Linked DNA regions of Drosophila melanogaster. The gene in region 2 interacts genetically with the main gene of each other region. Each region holds a gene or a part of one and is shown on either strand. Other genes may lie near its edges. The genes, in order: RhoGAP18B and Efa6.

Region 1 (3,926 bases), on a different chromosome or scaffold from region 2:
GAAACCGGTTAGGGGTTTTAGGTGCTTAAAACATGTTTCGCATTCTCCAACACCACCAATTGTTGTTACAGCGTCATTTAAATAAAACTGATTCAAATCCAGTCGAGAGTAGCCTACCACCATATTTCAAAATACAACAGATTTGGATCGTTAGGTACCACAAATGTTGGTTGGTTGGTAGGTAAAAGCGTTTTCACGGTGTTGTTAATCATACTTTGGTCTAGAATCAGGGTCAATGGTCAATGGTTGTCTTGTTTGCTTGGACAATAACCTGTATTATTAATTTTCAATTCTTTATAATCATGTTTGGGTTGTCCTTTAAAAGATAATTTTACAGAACATTCTATAAGATATTCATTTCTCTGATAAAAAACACACAAATTATACAGAAACCGAATTTATTTAAATAGAAAATCTTGATTAATTACTTGCGTGATATATTAACAATCCGAGAAATAATTTAACAAAGAGCCATACACTTAATTGTTCCAAACTATTTGAATTTTAATAGCAAACAAAAGGCTTGTGGAATTCTTCATAACTGATTGACTGTGTTTTCACTAATATAATTGTTGTGGTCTCATTAGGAGCATTTCTCTGAACTAATTAGCTTTCTACAAAATAAACAATTCTTAAATTGAATCCCTAGGGTCTGAAGGTTCTGAAGCATAGTTATTAATAAATAAGTGAATAAACTATTTAGAAGCCTGACATCACTGGGCTTGTTGTTCATTTTGGAAATTTTGAAAGTATATATTTCAAATCCTTCATGACTTAAGAAATGCTTGCGATTCACTTTAAAGTGTTAAAATTTCATTAATAAAATGTTTTTATGTACTGATACGAATCACCAAAATGCAGCAATAGCATAGAAAAAATATATTGATACCGAATTCATATACTTTTTTAAAAATTTTCATTCAGAAAATCCGTTTCGTTATAAATAGCTATAAAAATAGCTGTAGCACAACCAATTGAATATTATATTTTTTAATATGATTATGATATATATTTTGTTGAACCCAATTAACTAAGTTTAACTTCAAACACTGGCAAAATACACAGTTTATAGTTTGATTCCTCAAATACAAAAAAAACAAAACCGCAAAACTTTGGTTTTTCGGGCGCCTTGGTGATAAACTTGCATACTTTTGGGCATTCGATCGAGACCTTCTTGACCCCGTCAATAAAACCTGTCCAAATTGTGCAGCCCCCAAGGAGACAGCAATGCAATCAGTGTGGATTGTGGGTAATCCGCTGATTTGCCTATGCCGATGATTCATCGCCGTTCATTTTCAGATGGCGCGACAAATGAATAAATGACGATGAATGCCATTGTAAAAGCAATATACTGTAATTCACAAGAAACACATGAGCACACACACCCATATTATGGGCGAAAGGAAGGAACAAATAAAACGGGATTGGTCCCGTTATCTCGCAGCGCTTATCTCACTTTCTCTCCAATTTCCCCAAATGCACTGTTTTATTATTAAAACTATTGTAGATCGATCGAGGCACTTGGTGGGCTTCAATACCGAAACCCGAGCACCAAAACAAAAAGCACCGATTTTGGCCAGCACTGATAAGCCGAGCTTTAAATGGGAGCATTACGAAATTGGGCTTGAGGTGGGGCTCTCCATCAAATCGGGAGCTGCAGGCGCGACGCGTTCGCGAATTTAACAGAATATCAACTGAAATTGAACTCAAGATGCCGCCGAGAATTTTCTTGGGTGGCGGTCCGCCTCGTAAGCGATTGACGTCGCAGTCGCCGCGCAGTCGCAGTCGCAGTCGCAGTCGACGCCACGAGTCGGTGGCGGTGGCTATGGCTATGGCGATGCCGACCTCCGGTCACCCAGGGAACTCGAGCACTCCACACTAGTCAGCAAAAGTGGGCACTAACCCCCAAAGCCCGCAACAAAATTTTGTTGCTTCCGATGAAAAAGCAAGTTGGGAATTATAAGCGGGTAATTTCAAATATTTCAGATATTCAAATGAAATATAATACATATATTACAGGATATATCAGTATTTTTAAAAACTATAAATGCTAACTATATATGCCAGCCTTACAAAATTATATCATCAATAAGTTTCTTTAGAATAAAACTTTTTAAATTAATATAAGATTCAATAGAAATTCTTGCCTTGTCTAATACATTTCTTACAGTTATTTACTTTTATAGGCAAAGTCTATGGATCATTATTATGACCATGACTATGGACCATTATGAGCTGTGATTCATCATCGGTGAAACTATGACTCATGTCAACCGAGCTTGAAACTATCCTTCGTACCCATGTCATGCTGACCAGTGTGGGCCAGAGATCAGTGATGGGGAGGCAAAAGCCCAGAACAGAACAGAACAGCGCAGAGCAGAACAAACCTAAAACTGAACTGAAACCGAACCACATGTGTGTAATGGAACATGGGCAACATGTGTGGCTCTGTCTGGCTGTGCGCCACCACATTCACGAATGTGCGTGTGTGTGTAAGGGTTGGGGGTGGCATGGGCTAATGAGGGGGTGAGAGGGTAAGGGTGGGGCGTGGCAGCGACAAAAGACGCTTTTTATACTCAACGCCCGTTGCCTAATTAAGCATATCGAGTGCGGTCCCTGAAGGAGGGTGGTAAAGGGGGGGGGGGTGCTGTCGAGGGTTGGGAGTTTGTTTTTCAGTTCGGCTGAGTTGGGAGTAGGGGGTGCAAAAAAAGGGGGGGGCTGGGGTCGGTTCTGGGACCGCAGAGGGGGCGGTGCTGGGCGGGTGGATCGAGCTGTGTAAGTAACCATGATGAATGCTAAACACTGTTCAATTTATGCACAACAGTTGCGTAAACCGATTACGATATGCATATACATATGTACATACATACTTTTGCTCAACACTTTATTGCAAGCAATTCCGATATGAAAATGAGAACTGCACTTTCAGCACGAACCGTAAGCTCTCTTATTTCTTATTGAATTTTGAAACCAATCCTCATAATCCTGTTCCTCATAATACTGCTCGCAATCATGTTTTGAAGATCCATATAGTACACGACCGATATTTACAAAAATCGGAATCCATATAAAACAGAACCGGGAGCAAATAGAGAAAGAAAAGATGAGGATGCATCTTTGGGGAAAAAACAACAATTCCGGGGAAGAGACTTAAAAAATAGGCGAATGAGAGTGAGACTGAGAATGAAAATAAAAATAAAAATGAAAATGAAAATAAAAATGAAAATGAGCAGAGGCCGGCGAAGAATCGCATTGCAGCCGATGTTCAGCAATATGGTCGCTTGATCTTTGAACTAAATTAATTAAGCACAATGAACACAATTGTTGTTGTTGGCTTCGCTGCCGACGGCATCAAATGTATCCACCAGATACGAATACAAATACAAATACAGATGCGGATACAAAACAACAAATACGCACACATACCGAAATAAAGAAATGCATTCAGGCTGTGACCAACATTGCATTCAACTGTTTGCTATCGGCTACCCTACATACATACATATGTACTTTTATGTATGTATGTGTATATGCAGGAATATACCAATAAATCATAGGGTTTTCTAGGGTTGACTAAGTGTGGGATTTACACTATAGATTTAATATCTATCTTAAAGCACGCCACCACATATGAGTTTTAAGTGCATAAATTGAAACCCAAATATATTTAATATATATTTATTCGGCTAATAAATTATGAATTATATCTCGGAGTAGGGCATTTAACATTCGCAGTGCTTGGTAAATTAATTCCTGAAGAACATATTTCTCATGTTTTCGCTTTCAGTTTCCATCTTTTTTTTTTTTTTTTGCCCCGACTCATATTTGGTTTGGCTTTTCTGCGGGTTCCTCGGCCGCCTTCTTTTCCCGAAAAAAAAAAACAAACGAAGAATTAAAAGGGGTGGCCCACGGCTCATGGCCCGTGG
Region 2 (3,926 bases):
GGACAGTGAGCAGACCAGCGATGACAGCGACGAAGAGGAGGATTTATCACCGCCGCCCAAGCAGAAAAAGACTAAGCTGGCTGATAAACTGAAACGCAAGCCCGGCACTGGTGGTGTGCAGAAGAAGAAAATAGCTCCGCCGGCTAAGAGCAACAAGAATGCCGCCACCCAGAAGTTGCAGCTGGCCGCAGCCAAGTCGCTGGCCAAACCCTTGCCCAAGGGAAAGGCCAAGAAATCCAAGTAGTAGCTTAAAATACATTTACTATAGTTGTTAAGTAAGCGAAAACATTTTGTAAGATGAATTGTGTTAAAATATGTCCTTGTACAAACTAAAATGGCGTTTTGGCCGAGCTGCCTTGCTGCTCCTCCAGTTTGATGCGCTTGCACTTCATGCGTCGATTTTGGAACCACACCTTCACCTGGCGTTCGGTCAGCTCCAGCGCCACTGCGATTTCGTAGCGACGCAAGCGAGTCAAATAGTTGGAATAGCAGAACTCCGCTTCCAGCTGCTTGAGCTGCGTTTTTGAAAATGCTGTGCGTTCCTTGCGATTCGAGCTGATTGCCCGGAGTTTGGACCTTTGGCTTGGAAGTTCTTGACCAGTAGGTGCCTCATTTTGTAACCATTGATCGTTCGCTTCGTTGCACCAATTAGTTTCTAGTTTATTGTAATCCGCGTAGGAAGAAGACGCACTGTGGTCATATACATAGCTGCAGTCCGTATAGCCCTCCGTTTGGTTCAGCCACGATTTCGTAATATCCTCGTAGCAATAGGATTCTTGGTAGACGTTCGCGTGGGAGTTCTTCATTGCCGATGTCTTTGCTTCTAGGTCTAAACTATTACTGAAATCTCAGATTCGGCGGAGCTGCTTTTTAAACAAGGCGCAGAGTGTGCCAGGCCAATCTGCTTTTTCACTTAGTCGCAAATGATGTGCTGCTGATATGATAATTGTGCGCAACATCTGGACCTCGGGTATGAGTGGTTATGACACCCGCAGATCGGCTTGTTGTCTTTGCCTACGAACTGTTGTCACAACAAACCCGAATCCGATTCCCAGCCCCTTCCCCAGGCGTCCGGTCAGAAACGGAAGTGGACGCATGAGTCAAGTGCTTTGTGCCACCAACTGCGGAGCTATAAAATTTTAATAGACAACCGTCGGCGAGTCGTAAGACCCAGTCGGAGATTTATCTGAAAGTCGCAATTGCACGCGCTTTTAAAGTCGATGCGGCGGATTACGAGTGACCATTGAGTGTATATTCCTAGATAATCCATGACAAAGTGGAGTTTTATATAATAATTAATGGGGAAATAAGTGCGTGTCACAGAAATGGTTAAGGGATAAAATAGTTCAATAAAATAAGTCTTACGGGGGTTTTAGAAATTAGAAAAGAAATCAAAAAATTTTGATATCCTATTATGAAACCAATTATAAAATGGACACAGCAAAAACGTAAATTCTAGCTTCTGCTTATTTTTCTTGGGGCTTAGGTATACCCTTTTTTATTTGAGTTTTTATTAAATAATATACCGGTATATGAAAATTAACCGGTTCCGGTTTTAAATTATCCGCATTTATTTTCAAACTGAATAAGTGTTGGGTAATCTTTTTTGGTTAAGGCATAGGCACATTTCAAGTGTTGCCAGACTATGACATTCCAAAGGGCATTCAGTGATATCTGTTGTCCTTCGCTGTGTAGTTATTGTTTGGCTAGATTTATTCATATATTTCTTTTAATTTTCCTTTGTCAGCTAATAAATCTCATTTAATCTAGAAAAAGTATACAAGAGGTTTAAATATATCTATCGATAGAAATGAAGCAACGGTAGAAATACTTTCCGATATCTATCGATATATTAATACTTTTATGCTTCCCATCCCCAGTGCAATAGTACAATTTACAATTTACAATCATTTAGTACAATCTGCGATATCTGGGCATCCACATTCGCCAAAATATGTGCGGCTAAAACCCCCCGCGAACCGCTAAGCGGCGGCGAAACAGTCGGACAAAAGCGACATAAAGAAACGAAGCGAGAAGCAGACGGGCGAATTAAACAAGTTTCGTTTGCGTGGAACGCAGAATTGCGTGGAAAGAAAGCCAACGAAGTAGAAGAAGAAGCAGCGCAGCAAATGCAATAATGTTTAATGTTTAAACAAATTCGCCAAGGAGTTTCATTCTTTTTTTCAAATCGTCATCCGTGAGTGCGTGTATGAGTGTTTGTGAGCGTGTGTGTTTGTGTGCATGTTGTGAAGTGGAAAGAGTGAAAACAAAATGAGAGTGTGCAAATGAAGTTGGCCAAGCCCAAAACAGCGAGAATTAATTAAAGCGACTAAGAAAAGTGGCCGTCGCCCAAAGGATTAATCACGCCCAGGGGTTACCCACCCACACCGCCAACCAACCAAACGAAAACTCGGTGAAAAGAGTGTGAACCGATCGGCAGCAGGACGCCGAAGGACCCAAAATGAGCGAGGAACTGAAAGTGGTGCTGCGGCGCAGCGAGCAGCATTCCGGTTTCGGGTTTTCGCTACTCGGAACCACCGGACCGCCACATGTCATCTACGACATCGTCGAGAATTCGCCGGCAGCCGATTGCGGAGCGGTAAGTGAAGCAAACACAACAGCACACCGCAGTTGCAGCTCCTCTGCGCCTTTGTGTGTGCTGTGTGTCATTCCATTCCCGTCTGGGACAGGAGGACTGGCGGAGTCCTCACACCGAGCGGCCCATGCCACCCCCTCATATCCACCCACCGGTGACCTCCGACCACCTCTACCAATGACTTCATCAACCACCGGGCACTGGAAGCAGCCAGCGAAGAAGCAGAAGCAACAGCTCCCTTGCTGGGCTCACTTTTGGCAACGCCACATTTTAGACTACAGTAGAGCCTCGACAAGGCACACCGCCCAATAGCGGAATTTATTAAAGATCATTAAATGGAAATACGTAGCTGGCAAAATTGACAAAATTCATAGAAATCATGCCAGTTTCTAGTTAAGATTGCTGTTCTGCAATACTCATTTTTCCCTGGAATTTTGTGCTTTTCAGGGAATATTAAGGAGATTTTAGAGAATTGACAAAAAATTGACAATTGACAAAATTCATAGAAATCATGCCAGTTTCTAGTTAAGATTGCTGTTCTGCAATACGCATTTTTCCCTGGAATTTTGTGCTTTTCAGGGAATTTTAAGGAGATTTTAGAGAAGTGCAATAACAAATTGTGTGATTTCAGCACCGTTTTAAAATTTTTGAAGGATTTGTATACCGTCCAACTGCCGTTACATAAGCATTCAAACGGAAAACAAATTATTCATGACGTTTTATCTGACGCAAAGTGCATACGTACATATGTATGTATGTATGTACATACATAGATAAGTACGATTTTTTATGGCAGCTGGTGGCTTGAGTTTTGGAAGTTGGATTGTGTGCAAAGCGACCGAGACTCGCCCCTCGGCTGCTGATAAGAATATTTTCCACTTTTCCACTTCTTTTTTTTATGGTGATGACCATGGCTGTCTGCTGGCGTATGTGAAAGCATTTCAATTTGCACAACGGCAACAAAAAAAAAGCGAAAAAAGCGAGAAAAGCGCAAATGAGAGTCCTCCGTTGGCGTGTCATCATTGTTTGCCGCTCGTGATGTCATCGTTGCTTTAATTGATGGGTGGAAGGGCGCTGGAAGGGGGCGAGGGGCGGGTAGTCTCACACAAAAGCCAGTGTATCAATTTTCAGGCTTGTTTTGCTTTTATTTACTATTTACTGTCATCGCATCGCATCTCGAATGTTTAGAGCCGAGTGCAAAAGAAAACAAAGCGTGTAAATATAGCGAACAAAATAAGGCAAATAATTTGTCTTTCTTTTCAATAAAATGCTGATATGTTTACTGTTCGATTGTTTTTGCTGTGTAAAGATCAATTTATTGTCAATTTAA

The links.
Region 1: of Efa6 (region 2) and RhoGAP18B, changing one suppresses a phenotype caused by changing the other (phenotypic suppression), as found in Drosophila melanogaster (one study listed by BioGRID).

The regions. Positions count from the first base shown.
Region 1 is NC_004354.4:19,156,506-19,160,431, forward strand, and holds the start of RhoGAP18B (Rho GTPase activating protein at 18B), read right to left. Parts: upstream 1,697-3,926; 5' UTR 1,615-1,696; intron 1-1,614.
Region 2 is NT_033777.3:22,585,820-22,589,745, forward strand, and holds the start of Efa6 (exchange factor for Arf 6), read left to right. Parts: upstream 1-1,935; 5' UTR 1,936-2,461; coding exon 2,462-2,599; intron 2,600-3,926. Other genes in the region: CG6937 (uncharacterized protein), read left to right, coding at 1-244; btn (buttonless), read right to left, coding at 330-806. UniProt on the Drosophila melanogaster protein: Guanine nucleotide exchange factor for Arf6. Regulates axon growth and branching by inhibiting microtubule polymerisation at the cortex. Together with shot, promotes axonal microtubule bundle integrity.